5 linked regions of the Nothobranchius furzeri genome follow. The protein of the gene in region 3 interacts with the protein of the main gene of each other region in a pairwise test. Links are inferred from orthologs where the notes say so. Each region holds a gene or a part of one and is shown on either strand. Other genes may lie near its edges.

The links.
Region 1: the proteins of fmr1 (region 3) and pick1 interact in a two-hybrid assay, tested with the Homo sapiens proteins (2 studies listed by BioGRID and IntAct). The link is inferred for Nothobranchius furzeri from reciprocal best matches to the Homo sapiens genes FMR1 and PICK1.
Region 2: the proteins of fmr1 (region 3) and fibronectin type III and SPRY domain-containing protein 2 interact in binary tests that used the Homo sapiens proteins (3 or more experiments, as listed by UniProt). The link is inferred for Nothobranchius furzeri from reciprocal best matches to the Homo sapiens genes FMR1 and FSD2.
Region 4: the proteins of fmr1 (region 3) and nufip1 interact in a two-hybrid assay, tested with the Homo sapiens proteins (2 studies listed by BioGRID). The link is inferred for Nothobranchius furzeri from reciprocal best matches to the Homo sapiens genes FMR1 and NUFIP1.
Region 5: the proteins of fmr1 (region 3) and cyfip2 interact in a two-hybrid assay, tested with the Homo sapiens proteins (2 studies listed by BioGRID and IntAct). The link is inferred for Nothobranchius furzeri from reciprocal best matches to the Homo sapiens genes FMR1 and CYFIP2.

Annotation. Positions count from the first base shown.
Region 1 is NC_091752.1:66,109,277-66,114,320, forward strand, and holds the start of pick1 (PRKCA-binding protein), read right to left. Parts: upstream 3,180-5,044; 5' UTR 3,039-3,179; intron 2,913-3,038; exon of another isoform or gene 2,669-2,912; intron 2,599-2,668; 5' UTR 2,575-2,598; coding exon 2,534-2,574; intron 2,385-2,533; coding exon 2,273-2,384; intron 2,179-2,272; exon of another isoform or gene 2,150-2,178; coding exon 2,021-2,149; intron 1,312-2,020; coding exon 1,245-1,311; intron 1,152-1,244; coding exon 1,062-1,151; intron 1-1,061. UniProt on the Homo sapiens protein: Probable adapter protein that bind to and organize the subcellular localization of a variety of membrane proteins containing some PDZ recognition sequence.
Region 2 is NC_091749.1:41,524,384-41,529,272, reverse strand, and holds the start of fibronectin type III and SPRY domain-containing protein 2, read right to left. Parts: upstream 3,304-4,889; 5' UTR 3,114-3,303; coding exon 2,986-3,113; intron 2,877-2,985; coding exon 2,609-2,876; intron 2,406-2,608; coding exon 2,310-2,405; intron 2,062-2,309; coding exon 1,828-2,061; intron 1,733-1,827; coding exon 1,710-1,732; intron 1,527-1,709; coding exon 1,405-1,526; intron 1-1,404. Other genes in the region: WASP homolog-associated protein with actin, membranes and microtubules, read left to right, coding at 3,778-4,353.
Region 3 is NC_091741.1:30,646,340-30,650,613, forward strand, and holds part of fmr1 (fragile X messenger ribonucleoprotein 1), read right to left. Parts: intron 2,235-4,274; coding exon 2,182-2,234; intron 2,080-2,181; coding exon 1,986-2,079; intron 1-1,985.
Region 4 is NC_091742.1:74,292,487-74,296,085, reverse strand, and holds the end of nufip1 (FMR1-interacting protein NUFIP1), read right to left. Parts: coding exon 3,547-3,599; intron 3,456-3,546; coding exon 3,363-3,455; intron 3,240-3,362; coding exon 3,067-3,239; intron 2,992-3,066; coding exon 2,866-2,991; intron 1,945-2,865; coding exon 1,706-1,944; intron 1,636-1,705; coding exon 1,201-1,635; 3' UTR 1,100-1,200; downstream 1-1,099. UniProt on the Homo sapiens protein: Binds RNA.
Region 5 is NC_091742.1:50,768,166-50,773,100, forward strand, and holds the start of cyfip2 (cytoplasmic FMR1-interacting protein 2), read right to left. Parts: upstream 3,284-4,935; 5' UTR 3,092-3,283; intron 1-3,091. UniProt on the Homo sapiens protein: Involved in T-cell adhesion and p53/TP53-dependent induction of apoptosis. Does not bind RNA. As component of the WAVE1 complex, required for BDNF-NTRK2 endocytic trafficking and signaling from early endosomes.

The sequences.
Region 1 (5,044 bases), on a different chromosome or scaffold from region 3:
AGCAAATTACAATTAAAAAAAAATATTAGCCCTCTGGGGTCCAGGGTGTAAATCACCTTTTTTGACTCATTTAGGTTTTTCTTTTGCATTTTCTAATAAAAACAATAAATATTGCCATATTTTTTTTTCAGGACAACCTGGACTATCTGAATTTATACTTATTTTATTAATTTGGCAATAATGTACATGCATTTTGGAGTGGGGAGTGGCTCTGACAGCTGCGCGGCGCCGCCCACTCCTCTTGTTGGATCTCCGAGGAGCTGGATCTCTGCCTTCATCCTCTACCTCATCATGACCCAACTCTTCTATGAGGAAGGATGGATTTGCCACATCGTCATCAACATCCTCGCTGTTTGCCTCAGACTCCGGCTGCGAGTCTCCGCCCACTTCCTCTGCTTCCAGTTCAAAAAACAGCCGTACTTTCTGAACTGCCTGGTGGACATTTATCCTTCTCATCATCCTTTATATAAGCCTAATAAAAGCCGACTAAACTGCAGAGACAATATTTCTGTCCGGATCGCTCCAAAATATGAAGTTTACCGTCAATATCTGTCTAATTGTTTGTTGTTACTCCGTTGGCGCCACTCCTTTCCCCACAAAGCGGCTCCTTTTAGCGCACGTCTCGTTACTCGTGCGGCCTTCCTCTCTCTTTCAGCTACACAATGATACTTTTTATCAGCTGAATATGTGAGACTTCCACCAACAGCAACAGGATCTCATGTTTTTGTGGGTTTTTTATGTTCACAAGCACATTCCCGCTCACGGATTACCAAACTGCTGTTTTGACAAGTTATCAGATTGTCTAAAAATAGGTTGTTTTTTTTGTTTAGTATAACTCCGCTTTTACTTGCCTATGAACAAAATTTAAAAACGGGGGTGTAGTTTATAATCTCCTTTCTAAAGCTGAATCGAAAATGAAACTCAGGGAGGCGGAGTCTTGCTGCTACAGCGTCCCAAATCAGACCTGTTCAATAGACTCGTGTACGCGTCCATGGACCCCAGAGGGTTAAACCAACCGTCACCTTTTAAACAACAACAACAACGTTTAAAACAAGACTTACCGTTACACAGAATGGCTCTGCTGAGTCCGAGAGCATCAGCTGTGCCTGAGCTCATGTTCTCCACCAGGCGGTGCTTCACCTTTTTCAGCACTGAAACAAACAAACGTCATCCAGCGTGACTTAAGAAGACGACACAGCGTTACACTAAAACATGAGAGTGGTAGAAAATCCAGATTAGGGTACCGATATCTAGAGACTTTCCCTGTTTGGGGTCAGCCTGCAGCTTGTTGTAGTGGATCACCGCCTCCCCCTGTGAACACACACACAAATTTAGGATCTTCTTTATGTAAAAACAGGAAACATCTGTATTCATTTCTAATATTCAAGCATTAGGAACAAAATGGTTTATGTGGTCAACTTTGTGGTACAGAAGGGGACCTTCACGAGCAGCGTGCGTCCTGAAACGGTAACGTCAACAGTGTAAGCCTTTAATTCCCACACTGAGACCAGTTTTTATCCCACCATTCAGGAAGTCATGTTTTCTTTTGGATGGACAAAGGAAGCCAAAAGCAGCAGTCGCTCTGTCCTGCTGATGTGACGCCACGAGCTTTGTCCCTTTGTCCTCTTTTAAACAGCCTGGAACGCTGAAACCGTCCCTCTGCTCCTCTGAGTGAAACTGGGCTCACAACCTCGTGGAAATATTCACAGATGAAGCAGCAGAACTTCAGAAAGTAAGCCATCCTCTCTCCTTATTGGTCTGCATGTTGTTATGTAACACACTTTAAATTCTACATCATATTTAAGTAACATAATTATATCTATCTAGAGTATATCGAGGTGAGATGAAGTCAGTTTAATGGTTTAAGTTTGGTTTGATGATATAAGAATAACATAGAAGAAAACAGTAATAGAAAGTATTGCTGTGTTTAATCTTCAATCTCAGAAATATGTCTAATAGATTCTCATAACCTCCTAATGTTCAGATCTTTAAATAACAGACTGGCGTCATTCCCGAGTACCTGGACCGTTTGAATCATCTTGGCCACCTCCACTTTTGTTTTTCCTTTCACCGTTTTCCCATTCACACCTGTGATTTCATCACCTGCTGCCAGCGTCCCGTCGAGAGCTGCCGGCGTGTTATCAAAGACCTGAGAGACCAGAACAATCACAAATCACGGTAACAATGACTAGAAAGCGATTGGATTTCTCCACTGACATCTTCAAATGGAAGTTTAGTGATTCTTTTCCCTAATTAATGTCGACACAACAACCTGAACGATGTAGAGGCAGGGACAGTACTGTGCTCCACCACCAATGCTGATGCCGATAAGATTGTTTGCATCTTTCTTCAGGGTCACAGTGCCGGGTACCGTTGGGATCCCGCTAATAAAGAGGAAACGTGTTGATATCCAGAAATCACCGCACATCAGCAGATAATCATAAAGGGTTTGGTGTAAACAGAAAAGTCTGTGTTACAAGAGGCATCAACGCGTGTAAATGGATTATAGAGATTATAAAGCATCAAGACTCACAGTTTGTCCTCCTCCAAATCATAGTCCATGTCTGTGAACATTGTAGGACAATGTCTCTACTGTCCCTGAAAAAGAAACAGCTCAACTTTGAGATCTAAAATATAAAAACTAAAGAAATGAATATCAGGAACTTACTTTTAACTCTACTAAGAGCGATTTAATTACAAACGAGTAGATGTTTTCTGGGATAAATATGGAAACGTTTTAAAGTAAACTACTTTTTCCAGTAAAATAAACAGTCACCGTTTCTAATCGATGCTGAACTCAGTCGATGCTGACAGAGGAGAGATACCGGAGCGGCAGAAACATCTGGTTACGAACAGCTCTTGCTTCCCAGGTAAATGCCTCTTTAAAGACGTATGAAACCCTGGATTTATGGTTAAAACCTAACAATACATTTCTACTTCGTGACCTAACCAAACTACATGCTAACACCGCTGCTAAAGCTGCTAGCTTATGTAGCTTTCAGGCAGCTGCTATTGAAATGTCGCCGCAAACCTCTTACCTTTGCTAGGGTTAGGTTTATTAGAGTTCGTCCTATACTACCCGCTTTCTATTCATTAGGTCAATTTTTTTTGCAAATCTTGCCTTAAAATATCAATTATTTTAACTTCTTGATGCACTGAGTGACGACTGTTTACTTAATTCGTCACTTCCTGCACAGTAGCGGAAGTTGTGTTGAGAATGCTCCTCTTCTGCCATCTAGTGGCCAAATGTTATACTACACCATAAACATTCAAAAACATCTGACTGGCCCGGAGTGTTAATCTATGAGAATCAAAATTTCTGGCTCAGAGATTAAATTGTTTAGATTAAACGATTTTATTGATTATTTTTGCGCACTTTATTTCACTGAAGGTTTGCACAATTTTCCCTTAAGGATTCATTATTAGCCAGATAATACCAAAAACCTAAAAATTAAATAAAAAGAAAAAACTCCTGTATCGGTACTGAATATTTACTAAACTGAAAGGGAAAATCACTTGATGGCAGTTTTTGCTTCAGTACTATTTAACAGTTATAGCACTTGCTTTAATAATATTTAAACCTCCAACCACATTGTGACGCCTGGTTCTCAGTTTATGTTAAGACATCAGTGTAACGTCCAGAAAAGGGCAATTTTGACCTATATATTGACCTGCATAGTGACCGGTCATCTACAGACATAATTCCACTTTCTAGGTGGATTTTCTATTCTATCTTCTCATAAGATTATTCAAACATTTTACATAACATCTGGTTCATTCAACCTTATGATTATAAACATACAAAACATATCTGGATTCAGTTTTTAAATTGCAAAAAAGAGCTATTAGAATAATAAATAAAGCTGGATATAGGGAGTCCACAAACCAATTTTTTGTAGGATCAGCTATGTTAAAATTTAAGGACATTATTTATCTTAAAACTTTAGAAATGGTGTATAGAGTGGTGAAAAAGAATGTTCCAATTAGTATTTTAAGTATGTTTAAATTAAGAGATGGAAAATATGATTTGAGGGGGTCTTATATGTTTGAAATACCTAAAGCGAGAACTAATGCTAAATATAGATGTGTGTCGGTTTTGGGAGTGAAGTTATGGAATGGACTTACTGATGAACTGAAGATGTGTTATTCTTTGTCATTTTTCAAGAAAATTTTAAAAATTTGCATCTTCCAAAGTTATAGAAATTTAGTTTGATGTCTAACCTTGTGTTGATTTGATTTCTTGATTTATCATTGCTTTTTCTTTAAATGGTATGCATCTTATCTATCAGCCTTGGTTAGGGATTTGATTATCTCTGTGGGAGTTAAGGATAGGCTAATTATAAGCCACTAGGCTTCAACCTATTCTTTTTGGTTGCTTGATTACTTTTATGTAAAATTGATAAATTGTTGTAGTTGACCGAATAAAAATATCGATAAATGATTTACCTTATGAGTTGTAAAAGTTCACTTTTCATTCAGAGTGTGGAATCCAGCAGTCTGAGATAAGTTTGACAATCTTGTCTTCATGAAATGTCAACAAGCACTACAAAATCTTCTGGGTGTTAGAAGATAGAATAGAAAATCCACCTAGAAAGTGGAATTACATTTGTAGATGACCGGTCGCTATGCAGGTCATAATTTTATCATTGAACAACAACCATGTTCTCAATGAACCCCAAAAACTCATTAATATCAAAGCTGAATGTTTTTGGAAGTAGTTTTTGGTTTTAGCTATTTTAGGGGGATATCTGTGTGTGCAGGTGACTATTACTGTGCATAATTATTAGGCAACTTAAAAACAAATAAATACCCATTTCAATTATTTATTTTTACCAGTGAAACCAATATAACATCTCCACATTCCCAAATATATATTTCTGACATTCAAAAACAATACAAAAACAAATCAGCGACCAATATAGCCACCTTTCTTTGCAAGGACACTCAAAAGCCTGCCATCCATGGATTCTGTCAGTGTTTTGATCTGTTCACCATCAACATTGTGTGCTGCAGCAACCACAGCCTCCCAGACACGGTTCAGAGA
Region 2 (4,889 bases), on a different chromosome or scaffold from region 3:
AGCCTTGTTTTATGTTGATTGTATTAAAACAAAGAAAACAATCTGAAGTTTTTTTTTATTTACCGGTCCGGCCCACTTGGGACTAATTTCCCTCAATGTGGCCCCTGACCTAAAATGAGTTTGACACCCCTGCAGTAGATTATCAAAAACAATAACACCCTGACTAAGAGTGAAAATAACAACACAAAAATAATGCCTTTACAAATGGGAATTCATGGTTCCATCAGTTACGACAAACGGTCCGGGTCCCGAAGCAGCAAAACATCTTGAGACCATCACACTACCGCCACCGTGTTTGACTGTTGGAATGGTGTTCTTTTTATGAAATGCAGTGTTAGTTTTACACCAGATATAACAGGACACACACCATCTAGAAGTCTTAAGTTTAGTCTTGTCAATCCACAAAATATTTCCCAAAAGTCTTGTGGATCATTGAGATGATACACGCAAAAGTGAGATCAGAATGTATCTGAATTCTTCATGGATGCCATTTTAGTCCATCTCCATCTGATTTCCCTACGTGGATGAATTACTTTAACTTTCCTTGAAAGGTCTTTGTATCATACATCTAACGTAAACCTATAATTTCTGTCACTCTGATATCACTGTGATATTATTGTAATTTTGTCAAACAGATTACAATATTGTATCCCATCCCATCCTGACAAGCTTCAGGGTATAAAAATATCATCATGCGAGTTTTTCCATTATTCTGTTCCATAAATCTGTCATCAAGTGGTCCTGAAACTAATGAAGATGCTTCAGATAGATATGGTCTAATCACAACTAGGGATGCAACGATACCACTTTTTTCCAAACCGATAAGATACCGATACTCGGATCTGAGTACTCACTGATTCCGATTACCAGCACCGATATTTCTACCACACAAAAAAATGCAATGATTTGGAATACAGATTTTATTTTCTTCTTTGCTTTCAACAGGAAAATACTGTGAGGTAGATAAAAAGTAAAATGTATGACTGGAAATCATCACTAAACTAAAATATTAGGTGAACAGAAATGACAAGTTGCAGGGAAGCCATTTTCAAGCAACTGCATTGGTATCGGTTGCTGGTATCAGTTAACTTTTACCGACACGATACTGGTATTGGTATCGGTGCCGATACCAGTATCGTATCGGTGCATCCCTAATCACAACACTCTCCTGGTTGCTAACCTCACTAAATGTATGGACACACGAGCCTCGATGTGTAAGAAAACTAAAATCAGTTGCTATGTGCAATCAGCCTTGCCAGGACTTTTCTACTGACCCTATTCATTTGTAGAAGTTTAGATGTGTCAAAACCAAAACTCACAAACTCAACTGCTTTGACGTCACAAAGAAAATGCTGTTGCGAAAATGCCACCATTGAGCATAGAGGATGCGCTTTTGAATCAGACCTGGAATGATGTTGATAGACTCCATCATGGTTGTGACATCTGACAGATCAGCGAGTGGTGTGTTGAATTCAAGGCTTGTAGACAGGGTGAGGTCAACATCCTCTTTCACAAATGTTTCAAATCTAGTTAACAATGAAAAGAAAATCAGAAATTTTGCTAACAGGTAAAAAATGCCATGCCATGAGGAAACTCCTCCTGATTTTTGCTACTTGGAGCTACAACAACAGCTTCATGCCACACAAACTTAAACCTGTAAAAATGTTAGTTGTCACGCCATGCAAACTCACTAGAATGGTCATGTTTACCTTTTAATGATGGGCATAACAGTCTGTCAACAAAAGTTAAAAAAATCAGGCAAATGGCTTTTTCAGATCAAGGCAGCTGAACAATTTCCAAAGTTCTGCAGAAACTGAGCTAAAGCACCTTCAGGAAGAGTCTCTTGTCCTGGCTGCGGTAGGTCTCCTGAGCTGTCTCAATAAGCTCCTTCGAGTTGCCCAGTGCCTGACCACAGGCCAGCAGCTGGCTGTACAGAGACTCCAACTTACTCTTTTTCTCTTCCTCCAGTTCACTCGCCCTTTCGTCATATCGCTGAGACAAAGTCTGCAGCACATCGTTGTAGTGCTGCTCCAAGAGTTGCTCTTGACGGCCAAAATTCTCCTGGACAGATTTACATGATCATGGAGGTCCATTCAGAGATTTACATTAGTCATAGAGAAGAATGGAATGAGAGGCAATAAAAATAGATTTGTGAGTCTTCGAGATAAGTTATGTATGTCTTTGAGTCAAAAATAGAAAATCAATCATTTCAAAAACAAGAATAGACAAAATTTTCCTTTTAAAAGTAGTAAATCACAGTTAAAACCTATAAATGACACACCAAACCAAATATGACTTCTTAGTTTTACCTCAACGGTGAGAAAGATTTCCTCCAGATGACCTGCAAAATTCTCCATCTCAGCAACCTTCCCCTGCAGTCGGTTCCTGATGGAGACGATGTCACTCTACAAGCAGCAAAAAGTCAGAGTTTATCCCTTTATGTTGTAAAAAAAAAAAAAAACCAAACATAAACTATAACTGTTTTCTTTGTGCAGGTTTTTCACCCATTTGAATGGAAAACTGAATTCAATGTAGATTTCAAACCACCAAATGTTCATGAATGTGCATTTATGTTTAATTGCAAATCCTCAGTTATAAATGATGTCACCACCTCGGGTTCTCCCTTCTTGAACACTTCATCATCATCACCATATCCATCTGCTGCCCCAGTTGGAGATGGAGAGTTGTCCTCACAGGGTTCAAAACGAAATGATTCATTGGTGCCGACTGAGAACCTCTGCAAGGTCCTTCCAGCTCGATCTGAAGCCAAATTGAACATCTCCATGGTTGTTGATCCTCTGCTCAAGTCCTGGTGCTCACCTTCCTCTGAAATCACATCCAGCCTGAGCCCTCGGATTTCAGTCAGGTCCATGAAACTGTCAGAACACAAGTTTGAAATTTTCTGGTTCTAGGTCAAATAAATCCTCTTTTTTAACTCATATAAGTCAATAAACACAGCACTTGTACTAACCATATGCAAATTACCTTTCTATTGATTTAAAATGTACCTTTTGTAACTCAGTAAGCAGTCCGTACAAAGCAACCTTTTCAGGGCTGTGTTGGTAAGAAAGTTGCAGAGTACTCCCCTCAACCATGATAAAAATAGAACACATCTCAGATGTCAGACATCTAAAAAATCCACTAAGATAAACTAGAAAAATGAACTAAAACATTCTGTTTACTTGATTGACACATATTTATTCTGTTGACTCAGAAAAATAAAATGTTTATATATAGTCTGTAGGATGATTTAGGCTGTTTTTGTGGATGGAATTCCCCGAGCATGTGATTCAAAGGTCAAAGTTGAACGCGAAACAAGTCATTGCGATGCATTCAGGGATCCTCGTAAATTCTCCAGTCAGCCACTGAAACGCTTTGATTCGATTTTTGCGCCCCCGTTCATGCCTTAGTGAAACAACGTAATAAAATCAAAACACGCCCCTATTCAATCATTTATACTTTTTTTTATAAAGTTGGGCATATGCTATTCAGTGGGCCAAGATTACGTTTGTTACATTAAAGAAATCTCACATTTGTTTCTCTTACAGATTATAAACTCATCCTGATATGTTTCTCTGATCCATTCCTTATATTAACATTTATTGAAACCAAATACTAGAACTGTGTTTAATTGAGGGCTGATTATTTGCGTTCAACGAAACTTTCAAATTTCCGAATATTTGTGATTATTGAAAGCATCTATCGTCACAGCAATGGCGGATGTTGTAAACAGAGCCAGCAGCTTTCTGAGGCCAACTCTAAACCTCCGTTTTTGAGATGGACAGCGTAGAGTTAGACCGGTTAGACAGCCTGGAAGGGTGGGTAGCCATTAAAAGCGACATATTTGAAGAGGAAGAAACGTTTAAGCTGGGTTTTATCGTCCAGTGGAATGTAATAGAGTCCAAGTTCGCAGTCACCTGTCACAACCGCACGTTACAGCGACAGAAACGCAAGGCTGAAGTTTCCGTCGGTGACCCGCAGATGAGCTGGGCTGGACTCTTCTCCGTCAGTGATTTAAAACACATTCACCAACAGTTTACGTGCGTGGCAGACGTCCTGGGGGGCTGCTTCCCGGATATATCCGGCTTTGAAGAAAGTAACATCTGGGACTTGCTGTTTCTCAACCGAAGGTCGTGCCCCGAGGATGACAGCGAGAGAGATTTTGATGCCCCATGTAGGAAACTGGAGAAATACTTCAGCACTGCCATCGACCTCTGCGGTCGGAAGATTGTTCTGGAAACTTTATTCACTCAGGATGAGCGGGACGTTGAGGAATATTTTGAAAACTTACAGGAGTTCAAGAAGACGACGATGCAGGAGGAGATGTCGAGGGCCAAGAGTCACCTCAGACAGGTGAGACAGTATGAGGGTTGATATATTTGCATTATTCAGTTACTGAATGTTTCAGATTCTTGCTCGTTTGCTCCGGAGCTAAAGAGGTTCTGCTTATTTCCCCCGACAAGCTCTCTGACCTGCTGTTTGGAAAATCTCCTAAAAATGTTTATGAAGGCAGAAGAAAATAAGCTTTAATCAATTTCCAGACAGAACAATTCTCTCTTTAAAAATGCAAATCTTAAGCACCACATCTTAATAATATTTTCAGCTGGAAGAACAGCTGGTTAAATGAACATTTCCCTTTAAATCTATATTTAGATTTGGCTCAAACTTGTCAAAAGAAAACTTGTTACTCAGCAAGATGTTTCCTATGTTTATTCAAAACAAACTAAACTAACTCAATTTCATGTTTTTCTTTCATTTCAATCATTGTTAGCTTGGATTTAAACAATTTCTGTAACATTTGACTTCTCACACTTTATTTACCTGTTTTAATGAGATAATTGTTTGATTTGGTAGAGTTTAGTGATTTATTTATTTATTTATTATGCTTC
Region 3 (4,274 bases):
GTCTCTAAATAAAGTACAATTTTCCAGTGCAGATTGGAGACAACCCATAGAAGCACTGATTTGATCTCATTTCAGAGAAAAATAGAACAGGTCAGATGTACCTAATGAATGAAATTACTAACAAACTCAGGAATGTTTCTTTGCTTCACTGTTCTGGTGCTGAAAACATCACTAATGCGGATCAAAGGAGATACACGGATGAATGCACGTCTTATTTATTATTTGAGAATTACATTTAGACAGAGATTGTTTCTATCGATACACGAGTTTACAGAATCATTTTAAATGTTAATAGGGGAAGACTGCAGGAGGCAGCGGTAAAATACAGGGGGTCCCCAGCAAAAACAAGAAACCTTACGAGTCTGATGAAACCCGCTGGTTTTCCATCAGGCAGTCACGGGGCAGCTCCAACGACCCAGTGGCTGTGCTGGGTCATGTTATCGAGCTCAGTCCGGTACCGGCTCGGCCGTGAACGAGCCGAGGCGACGTCGTGCTCTGCTTAAGAAGAAGCGTTATTTTCCCGCTTCAGAAGAAGCGTCCAACGTGTTTTTACGCTTTCTCCGAGACATGTCACGTCGCTAATGTAGACATGTAGCGCTGCGCGCTAATACTTAGTGCAGCGTAGCCTGCTGGAGGTTTTAAGGGTTCGGATGAAACACCCGACCTCTCACGCTGCTCACACATCGATCTTAAGTTGTCGCTGTTGCGCTCACGCCGTAATACAGTATTAGATGTGGTTAAAGTCAGACATGAAGTAATAAATACATTTTACATGAATAAGTGATGATTAGCCTGGTGGGGGAGGAGAACCTGGCCTAATAAGCACTGGAGGAAACCCTGTCAGGATGGTCAGCACTCGTTTATCTTAATGCTGCTGAAACATGTAAACGTAAAAGCATTATATCCACTGCTACCTTTCTGATTTTAAACTCAGTAACTTATGCTGTAACTGCACCCTGCCCTGCCTGCTCCTTTCTTCTTGCTGCTCGCCGGCTGTGATCACAAGCGACAACAACATAGTAGTTCCCGCTGCTTCTTCGGGAAACAGTGCAAAAATAAATAAATAAATAAATAAATAAATAAAACTTGGGATCTTGTAGGCGTGGCGGCAAGATTTCAGCCGTGGCGGGCCGCCACGGCTACGCCTATGTAAGGGAAACCCTGTAACTACATAAAAAGGATCAAAGCAGTAACAGGAAGTGAGCTGATGCCATTTGTTGGAGAGCCCTGGCAACGACAGATACCGGCGTTGCGTGTCTCCATACCAACGCAGACGTATACATTAGGCCTTGAGGAATATTTGTAATCACACTTTAAAAGAATTATTTCAGCTATAATTGACAAGGTCCTTGTTTTTTAACGCTTTAGTGCGGTTCAGGGTTGACAAATCTGAATACTCTGCTTTTGTGCCGACACATTTATGCTATATTAGGCATGTCCCGATACAACTTTTTCACTTCTGATACGATACCAATATTGCAGCCTTTCAGTATTGACCGATACCGATATCTATCCGATACGATATCAGCACAAATCCTACATACCGGTTTTGTAGTGTGGAATGTATGAAAGGCTTGATCAAAAGATGTTACTTAATCAGAGAAGAAGAGCCAACAATAGTAAGTATGAAAAAAATGACAACATTTTTTAACCATTGGTTGCCAACAATGTGAACCTTAACGGACTGCTTACATCAGAGAGTTTTGATGCAGTCTGATATAATCCGATAGTGTTTTTGGGCTGATATCGAATTACTTCCGATATCGATATCGGAATGGGACATCCCTCTGCTATATTAATTATTATGATTACAATTAAAATGGAAAGGCTGAACTGCTGGAACAGTTTGTTCTGTGGGTTGGAGGTGAAAACTCTAAACCAGAGTTTTAGTGTTTTTGCCACCTAAAACATACTTGTCCTTCTATTTCCTGCCCTTTGGATGAATACCTGAACCTGCTTGTCCCTGAGGTTTGAACCCTTCTCACCTCCACTTCGTCGCTTTCGTTGATCTCTTTGCTGAAGCCCGCTGGAGGAGGGAAGCGGACATCCTGGAATGGGATCTGACGTTCCGGCTGCCAACTGGATCGGACAAACACAAACATTATTTAATCCTACTATTATTGCGTCAGATGTATTACTATAAAGCTTTACTGTCGTGTGTGTAAACATTATATTACTCACTTGTTTTCAAAAGCCACGGTGACAGATCCCTCGTGGACATCTTTGATAAAAGCCTACAAAAACCACAGAAATGAACAGAAATGTTCAACAAAGGGGGTGAGTGGCCACACCTCCACAGTGACGAACGAGGAGGTAGATGGATAACCAGCCCTACACGGTATCCAAGTATGTAATAAGTGCTAAATGATCACGATTCAGCTACATGCTTCCCAAACTGACAACAGCATGTAGCTGAAACACATATTAAAATGTGAAGCTGCAAGTTGTAGAATGAAGTAAACGACATCTTGTGGTCAAATTTGATTACAGCAATCTGTAGCGTCCAGCGATGGTCAGTTTTAGGTACAGTCTGACCTTTCAACATCTATTCAACACCTGGTCAGAAAGGAGACACAACACTGCATGTGTTCCCTTTAAATGAGCCTGCCTTCATACCAGCTGGGGCTCACAGACTCTGCAGCTCTGAAAGATAAACAATAACTTTCTTTCCCAAGGTCCCATCTGGCTGCCTCCACAGAAGGAACAACTCCAGCTCGAATGAGTTGCTAAATTCAAGAATGATTTACTAAATCAATATGAACTTCTTCCATGACTTATAATCTAGATAATCATTAAATAAACATTTGTTTATTACTACTTACAATAATTATAGTATAATGAAATGCTTCATTAATCTGTGCTCACTGAATGGATGTTATGTTATGTTTATGTCTACTAGAACCCGCCATGTGTTCAACATGTTTTGACGACGAGGTCCTCACGCCTGCACTCACAATAACAAGTACGGTTAAGTTAAACTCCAACACACAGAGACTTTTAAACCAGTCAGAACGTCCCGTATCAAGAAGGCATGTTTCTGAGTTGTCTTGGTAACATCTCTCAAACCTGTCAGCCTTTGATTGGCTGTGCAAATCATAACATCAAAACCTTAAAACTGGATCATCCTGAGTGATTCGAGGGTTCTGGAGAATCGCTTCAGACCGGCCACCTGTAGTAAACCTCTTTAGCCATCAAAGATTTTGACACGTCGTCAAAACCTTTTTGCACCTGCGAAGCTGATGAGCAAACAGCTCCTGCAGAAACAAAGCTGATACTGTGAGACTCCTTAAGAGTCTGCCAGACGCACGGTTCCATCCAGCTGTTATGACCCGAGACATCTCTGGACTGAAGAGTCGGTACCACGGTATTCTACAACCCTCCGGTGCCAAAGATCAGCCGACCCCTGCGACTTTCGGATCCACCAAGAGGGTCTCTCAAAAATGGGTGAAGTAGACATGATAGATTGCGTCTGATGTTCTTCTGATGATAACAACTTTATAGCTTAGAGCAAACCAAATTCTGTTCACCAGAACTCAGCTTACTTTGATAAGGAAGCTCTGACTGACACCGCATTCACACATTGGTTCTTTCATCACGTTTAGTTACATTCACTCACAGTAAATGCTTAGTTAATTAGTCATGTTTTAATTGTTTGCTAAATAAATTCTTACTTTTATAAACCTGACTCTTTCTTGAAGTAACACGAAGTGTGGTTGATCACTGAAAAAGCAAAGAACCTAGATCTTCTGAATTAAAACCTAGAATCTTCAGTTACAATATAGACCTAGCAGGTTAATATTTATATTTACATAGAATATTACATCTTCCTGGTCATAACAAATAAAAATCATCGATTTGCCTCCGCTACATTTAATGGTGAGCCAGCCAGTCGTATCAATTTACACTTCGTGGTAATTCTCTCATCCATTAAAAGCTGAGCTGTGCACCTCCTCATTTTTCCTCTCCCAAGCTGACGGCAAGGGAAGGTTTTATTTTGAAGAGTGCCTCTTCGTAACTTCCTCTCCGGAGGGGACGAAGTGACAAACTATTTGGTTACCAAGTCAGTATCATCAAGCGTTTGCTTTCAACTACTGTAAACTCCTAGACGTAAGAGTGTCATTTTATAACATTTGTGTGTTCATCTGAATGTGTTTTGTCACTGTTGTAGGCTTGTGTTTCATGGACAGGAAACGCTGATCCACTTAGCACCGAAGCCATCTCTGATTTAGCACCAGAGCTAATCAATCCATATCAGTTTCAGATTTAAAATAATG
Region 4 (3,599 bases), on a different chromosome or scaffold from region 3:
AGGGACGCTATCGCTGGCACCATGACTGGGTGCTTAAAGCTTTGGCGGACTCAATTAAGCACAGCAAGACCCAGGCAGCTCCCCAACAAGCTATCACCTTTGTTAAAGCAGGGCAGAAGGCACAATGCCACTGGCCTAGCTCCCAAGGGGGGCTTCTCTCTACCGCTCGCGATTGGCAGTTTCAAGTTGATGTAGGTAGACAGCTCAAGTTCCCAGAAAACATCACAGCTACGTCTCTCCGCCCAGATATGGTGATATCTGAGTCCACCAAGCAAGTGGTCATCCTAGAACTGACAGTCCCTTGGGAAGACCATATTGAAGAGGCCCACGAGTGAAAGACGGCCAAGTACTGTATGCAGAGCTGAGCTCGGAGTGTCGGAACAACGGCTGGAAAGTTCGTTGTGAGCCTGTCGAGGTTGGGCGCCGAGGCTTTGCTGGCCACTCACTGCTGCGAACCCTCAAACTCCTTGGAGTAAGAGGACTGAAACTGAAGAAACCCACCAAAACCATCCTCGAGGCCGCAGAGGGGGATCCTTGGAGCAATAGGCCACTTGGACACAAGCTGGGGACTGATCAACCTCAGCTGGGTCGCCCGGGTGAGGGTGTATGAAGATTAAAGACCCGAAACACCCTATGACCCCGGGTTCTTTACTGATGACGTGTCCAAGTAGCAATGGAAGGTGTATTCAAATTCTCTGAGTTTAGATTAATTTCAAATATGGTCAGATACATGTCTTAAACCTTTATCTGCCCCAAGACATATTTTCCCAAGATGCTCCCTTCCATAAGCAAATATGTTAATATTACTAAAACATTTAAAAGAAAGCTCATCGCTCTTTTATCAAGTTTGTCGTATTTGCAAGATTGGTTAATTCATATTTTAACAATGGCGTCACGTTTCCACACAGACCAAGGTAAGTTTGGATAGTTTTGTTCCCTTAATAAATGAAATCCTAGCGTTTGTAGGTGTTTGGTATTTACACAGTTGTCTAATTTTGAAATGTGTTTTGTGATCTGTAATGTGACAAAATTAAGAAAAATAATATTAAAAGAACATAACACTACAACATGACTGTAAAGACCAACAAGTGCTATAGTATAGGGATCTTACTTTACAGATGCATAGTTTTATATAACAAAAGAGGATATTTCTATAAACAAGCAGAATCATTTCAAAATAAAACAAAGACGCTGTGATCTTCACAAAGCAGCCTGGTTGCTCTCCCATATCTCATCATCATACATGTTGGAGGCAGACATGTTTTTATCTGAGGAGGTGGTCATCTCGTCGCCGTTCTGGACCAAATCTGCAGCAGCTGCATCAGAACTCCCTTCAGAGTCTAAAGGAGGCTCACCGCATGGATCAGACAGGCCGTTACTCATCAAACTCCCATCCTGTCTTGTTCCTTCTCTTTGCAGATCTCCACATTCTGGTGCGACTCCACCAACAGAACAGCTGATGTTCTCAGGTTCGTCTGCTGGACTCGGGTTATTGTGGACAGTTCTGGTGGCCGACATGTCTTCAGTCTGCTGGTTCTTATGTTCGCTCTCCAGTCCAAAGAAGTTGTTGTGGACAACATAGCGTACACACTGGAGGAGGACATTCCTCTCGTGGCGGATGTCTGGAGCTAGTAGCTGAAAAGGAGAACTACATTAAAACCAGACATCAGTCATGTCTACATGTCTGTGTCATGTAGACTCGTACCATTTCTAGTAAAGTGGGACGACGTTTCTGAGGCGTATCTTGGTGTCTTCTTCCTCTACCACGGTGACCTCTCCTGTTTTTGACTGTGTTAGGACCAGAGTAGAAGTGAGGAGCTTGATCCGTCTCTGTAGAGGTTTCCAGACCTCTAGAAGGCCCTGTGTACCCAGAGGTGGGCTGGATTCTGTTTAGGATGGTCTTGTTTTCCTGAACTAGGTCTCTGGCTCTCTGAATGGGAACAGCTATGACACAAAGAGACAAGCTTATTATTGGGAAAACACATTCAACAAGTCCAAACCAGGGTTGTGTATTGGTAGGAATCTGGCGATACGATAAACATCACCACACCAGGCAGACGATGCACCTCTTGTGCGTCTATTGTTGACTTTCAGGGGACCCCGTCACCTTCAGCTCCCACGTAATTCGAACCCTGGCTTCAGTTATGGCACTTACACACAAGCATCGGCTCCACTCCGCCTGGACCGGGTTGGGAATGTTGTGGATTTTCCCGCATGCAACCGGATGTCTTTGCAGCCCTATTCCCAAGGTGGTCGGCCTGGAGCTGAACTGGTCCAATATGCCCACTGCCGACTGATTGGCCAGCTCAAAATCGTACCATTTAGGGGAGCCTCGGATTGGCAGATGTAATCAGCCAGCAGGGGATTCCCGCATTCTGGATGCTGTGGAGTTAACAAGCCTCTGACTGAAGCCATTTTTCTGTATCTCATTGCTGTGAGGAGGTACACACACACACACACACAGCAAAGCAGGACGTAGTATCAGAGTCTCCAAAAGCAAGACTGCTCAGGCTGCCTTTGTTTAATAATGGATACACCACAGACTTCGCCACGATCTTTTGCACCTGCGGCAACTTTGGAGACCGCCCATGTTCTCAATCACGTTCGCATTCCTAAGGCAGTGTGGAACAAACGTGGCCAGACTGGGGCGGGTTACGCAGAGTGGAGCCAATGCTAGTGCGCAAGTGGCATTAAAGATCTCTCAGAGCTTCTGTGTTAACGGGTTGTGCACACATCTATGAGAAGAACCGTTGAAGAGGTCACGACTTGGATTTTATGGCGCCTAAAAAGGGTTCTCTTTGCATTCTGGGTAAACATAAAGCAGTGTTACGCATCCTAATGGCCAAACATAGGTTTGTTCACCACCTTCTGGTTCCTCATCCTCTTCACTCATGGAACCGTAGTTAGCCATCAAGGCGCCGAGAGCTGAGCTCATCTGTTTAGGAGGCACAACCAGAACCGGTCTGGACTCTGGAGCCTCTTTGTCTGAATCTGGGAGCACAAAGCAAAGAAATCTGGTTTTTGCCTCCAATTTGTAGGAAACGTTCCAGACTGGAGAACACTCACCATGATCACCGTGTGCCAGTACACCCAATGGATCTTCACCTCTGGGACAATGGATGGGGGGTCTGGGAGACTCGGAGGACCTGCTTTCAACTGGAGGGCCTTGTGGGCGTCGCCCTCTGAACCCTCTGTTTCCCCTCCCACGACCTCTTCCTCTGCCTCTGCCCCTCATTTGTCTGTCAAACAAAAATCTGAATAGTTCTACTGGTTTTAACCTTGTGTCCCATCTCCTACATGCTCTGGAGTCTGGATGGGGATAGTTCCTCGCTGGTCAACAGTCCAAATGTTCTCACACATACCCAAACTGAGCCGTTTCAAGAACCCCTCCAGTCTGCTGCCGCGCCTCCATGATCTTTTTCTTCTTCTCGATGTTCTGAAGTGTTGGATAGTTTCTGTAAAATCCAATTAAACGATGCTAATGAACACCAGTTAAACCCAAAGAACCCTTCACCGCGGGTGTCCGATCACGTAAACAAGGCTCACTTGCGTCTCTCCTCTCTCCACTTGGAGATCTCCTCAGGTGTGTCCAGTTTGAT
Region 5 (4,935 bases), on a different chromosome or scaffold from region 3:
GCCTGGCAAGCCAGACTAAATAAATGTATTATTTAGTCTGGCCATGCTCCATTGACGGCTCTCGGTTGTGGGGCAGGTTCTACCGTTGTCTTTCAAATGATCTCCACATTCCACTGGACAATGAATGTGACATACTCTTGTTTCACTCTGTTGCATCATCCCACCCACCAGGCATATAGAGGGCCCTGATTGGCCCACAAAGCAGATAAAGCTCTGTGATTTGTTCACTAAGCAGATAGAGCACTATGATTGGTCCACCATTGTGGACCAATCACAGCTCTTTATGTGTTTGAAACCCCTCTAGAGAGCTGTGATTGGCTAGCCAGAGTCCTGGTAGGAGCTGCTGAGGTTCCAATGGAGCATGCCTAGACCATTCTTTGCAAAGCAAGAATTTGGTCTAGTTCACTAGGCTAGGGTTTATGTACTTGTCTGAAAATGTAACACGTTTAAAAAAAATATACCGCGATAATACCGAAAACAGTGATAATTTTGGTCACAATAACCGTGAGGTTAAATTTTCACACCATGACAACCCTAAACGGCACATATCGTTAATCAGCCAATATTAGTTTAGGATATCAGTATCGGCCCAAAATGTCATATTGGTGCAACCTTATTGATTTTAACACTGATCAGTGCACAAAACAAAGATTTAACAGCTGGTTAAATTAAGTGTTCAAAAAATGGATCCAGCTTCAGAAAATCTGTGCATGAACTAATGTTATTAGTGACATTTTGGCATCAAAATAAGGTGGTAAATGTCTTTGGGCTTCCTGACAGGGTTGCGGAAGGCGCTTTATAAATAAAGCTTTGATTGATTGATTGATAAATATCGGCCATGAAAATCTGCAAGGGATGCACGATATATCGGCATCAATATCGGTATCAGCCGAAGTTAGACCTTTTTTCATATATAGGCATCAGTCCGATAAATAAAACTGGGTCAATATTAACAACAAATATTTTTCCCATCATTTCCTTTTGTTTCTCTGTTTCAGAGGTTGATGTGTACTTGTTTAGTCATGTGACATTGATGATAATCATCTCAGAAGCGTAAATGTGTGAGGTGTTTGTACATAATGATGTAAATTCAGCTTTAATAATTTTCATTCTCCACCGAATCTCCTGATTTTTGAAGCAGTTATGTCAATATATCAGTATTGGCAAATATCGGTTATCGTCCATAACAGTGAAATTAATATCACATATCACATCTGCTCAAAATTTTCATATCGGTGCATCACTAAAATCTGCCCAAAATTTCGGCTGCACAAATCGGCCATCGACTGACCATGACCTCAGCACCAGAGATTTGAGAGCCCAACTCCAAGTCCCCAGACTCTGCTTCCTCACTGGAAGACGTGTCGGTGGGATTGAGGAGGTCTTCAAAGTATTCTGCCCACCGATCCACAAGTCCTGAGTAGAGGTCAGCAGCACACCGTCCCCACTATAGATAGTGTTGGTAGCACACTGCTTTCTCCCCGAGGCGCTGGATGGTGGACCAGAATCTCCTTGAAGCCGTACGAAAGTCTTGCTCCATGGTCTCACCGAACTCCTCCCATGCCCGGGTTTTTACCTTGGCGACCACCCGAGCCGCGTTCTGCTTGGACCACCGGTACCCGTCAGCTGCCTCTGGAGTCCCACAAGCCAAAAAGACCTGACAGGACTCTTTCTTCAGCTTGGCAGCATCCTTAACTGCTGGTGTCCACCAAAGCATTGGTATCAGCAATACAAAAAACAATATTAGTCAACCTCTGATTCTGGCCATGTGTGGGGTGCTACAGCCACTCTGGTCTTCTCAGAAGGACATCGGGACTGCTTCGATCTTAAATCTGGGCTCGGCCCAACATCGAAGACAAACAAACATGCTTCATGTTGAAAGTCCATCAAAAGCATGCTCCTCCTCCACCACAGATAGGTTTAGCAAGACTTCTCATCTAATCGGTGTGTAGTTTTAGCCATGTTGCTGGACTGCAGGACCAAAACTGTTTGGTGATTTTTCATCACCTCGTGTGGGGTCTCTCACGTTTTTAAAAATCACCCCACAATTTTAAACCCTCCTGTGTGAACCGGGCCTTAGAGCTCGACAAGAAGCCAAAGATAAATGTGATTATTTTCTCTTTTGTTCTGTAAATGTGCCAATTAATCAACGGGATTACTTTTTTTTGTCAAACAGTAGACATCTTCTCTAGAAAACAAAACAAAAAACAGCAACTCCATTCATGTGTGTTGCTTTTAACCTAAACTTCAATAAAAAATAATGATTTTTAAACAGTTTGTCTTGTGATGAAGCAGTGATACCAGAGGCGCCTCTAATGGTGAACACAACCCACCAGTCCCAGTCTTGTCTGAACCAGTGCAACCACTTTAGATCAGTTAAAATGGTTTTCTCCACCACTACATGGAAAATCTGCATCGCTGCATGTTTACAACTTGCTGACAGCACATGATGAGAGGCGGATTTCAGGAAAGAGGTGTGCAGCGGTGTGAATGCAGAGACGGAAGCGTGTGAACCGGGGATGGTGATCACCCAGGCCCGAAGGCTGCTGGTGCGATGGCCGTGATGGGTCTGGACCGTGTGGCCTGCTGGTCGGATGCATCAACTACGGGGGGGTTCTAGGGTGGAGAAGGGCATTTCTCACCGTAGATACAGAATAAAGGGGGGGAGGGGGGAGTAAAATGTGTGATCGAGCTCTCGGAGTCCTAAACATAAACTCACTCGGGTGTATATTTTACCTTATCTGTGTAAAAGACGTTACCGGCTCGGGAAACCGTTATCTGTACGTGTACGTGCTCCATCACTCCTCGGTGCACTTGCTGCTCGGGAAGCCTCACCCCACCCATCTGAGCCACGGCACCGATGGAGGCGAACGGGACTCCCATTCATCAGTCACATTCATCCGCTCATCTTTTCATCCGGAATCTCGTTCATGCACAAACACACAGGTGACGGGAAAGATGTAAAAGCGCGAGACGGAGGGAGAGAAAAGCGGCAGCAGCTCTCCCGGTCGCTCTCCAGCCATCATCACTACCCAGCTCACATCATCACCCCCAGCCTCTCTCCTTCCTCTGCATCCATGTTTCCACCTACCCGAAAATCGCATGTCCCGCGGAGTCCGGCGACAAGCAGACGGGTGGCCGGTGTCGCGGTCCTGCGACAGCTCTCCGGTGGTTCCTGGGTGTTTTCTGGGTGTTCCGTACCGACTGATGCTCTAGTTTCGCTCGGTACCAGCCCTGTGCTAATCCGCTCCACACAAAGAGCAGAAAATGGCTGCAAGTGCATTTTCTTAAAGGGACAGTCGCAGCTCGGCGCCGTCGACATGTTGATCCCTCTCGTTTTTACAGCTTACTCAGGCACTTGTACTTTGGGGTGCCATTTGTGAAGTCAAACAGTCGTAATCTAACAGCAATACTTTTGGTTATTTAGCATATCATAAGAGAAAAAATTGGGAGTTCACTTTTTTGAAGTCGTATTTTCACCATGTTTATAAATGTTAAAGTTTCCAAATAAATATTTAGTTAGCAAGCTAAATATTTAATTTGTAGTTAAATATTTATTTTGCAAACTAAATATTTAGGTCAGATCTAAATATTTAGTTTGTAAAATAAATATTTAATTCACTAACTAAATATTTAATTTACTAATTCAATATTTATTTTGGAACTAAATATTTGATTTGTAAATTAAATATTTATTTTCCTAAATAAATATTTAGATCCCAGCTAAATATTTATTTTGGAGCTAAACATTTAGTTTGCAAAATCAGTATTTGAGAAATAAATATTTAAGTCTGACTCAAAAAATATAAAATATAGTGTGGAGCTAAATAACATTGTGAAAAATAAATATTTAGCTGGTACTTAATCATTTAGCTAATGTACAAATTTGCTTGCCAATAAGCAGAAGTTGGTTACCAAAATAAATGCTGGATCTCGCTAACTTCTTTATAAACTCTTGCTCCAAACCAGAACTTGTTTTATCTCCGGTTCTTCTTCTGAACATGTCCGACGTGTTGGCTGAAGAAGAATAGAACCGGAGATAAAACAAGATAGGCACCAGTTTCATCTCAGGCGCAGCCGCGCAGCGCCACCGCAGCTTTACAACATTGTGGAGTACTTTACAGTAGACATTACGACGCAGAACAAACCCAACCGCACTTTTGATAACTTTAAAGTACTATTGATGTTCATGTATTTTAATAAATAGTATACTTTCCCACTTTTAAAAAATTTGAGTCTCACAAAATGCTATGGTAAGTCTGATCAAGTATAAACAATAGAGTCACTTCCCGCTTCCTGTTCTCAAGTCCCGCGTGATGTTGTGACTATCGCACGACTTTCCAGAAGTGCTCAGTGGCATTTCCTGTGTGACAAAATCTTGTTCTCAAAATCGCAGGAGCAACACTGATCGTCCGCCTACGGTGTGCCTCAAGCTTTATATAGCCTCAGCATGTTTGGGACAGTGATATTTTGGTTCAGTTGTATTTTTTATTTTTATTTTTTTGTGCGCCCTCATCTTTCTGCACTCTGTAAACCCAAAATGTTGAAAATAATCAAATATTTTAGAACTCAAATGTGTTGAATTAGTTCAGCCTTTTCCTTGTATTAAATAGAACTCAAAATTTATAATTAACCTGAACTATTTCCTTTTATAGTAGCCTAACATACATAAATTAATAAACCACAACTTAACTGGAATGAGTAAAAATAACTAAATGATTAATTTATCATTTTATGGTTCTATTTTATTCTATAAATCTTGATGTCACCTGTGTCTGATAAATAGACTTATATACATACATACATACATACATACATACATACATACATACATATATACATATATATATATATATACACATATATATATATATATGTGTGTGTGTGTGTGTGTGTGTGTGTGTGTGTACACACACGTGTTTTAAATGTTTGTGG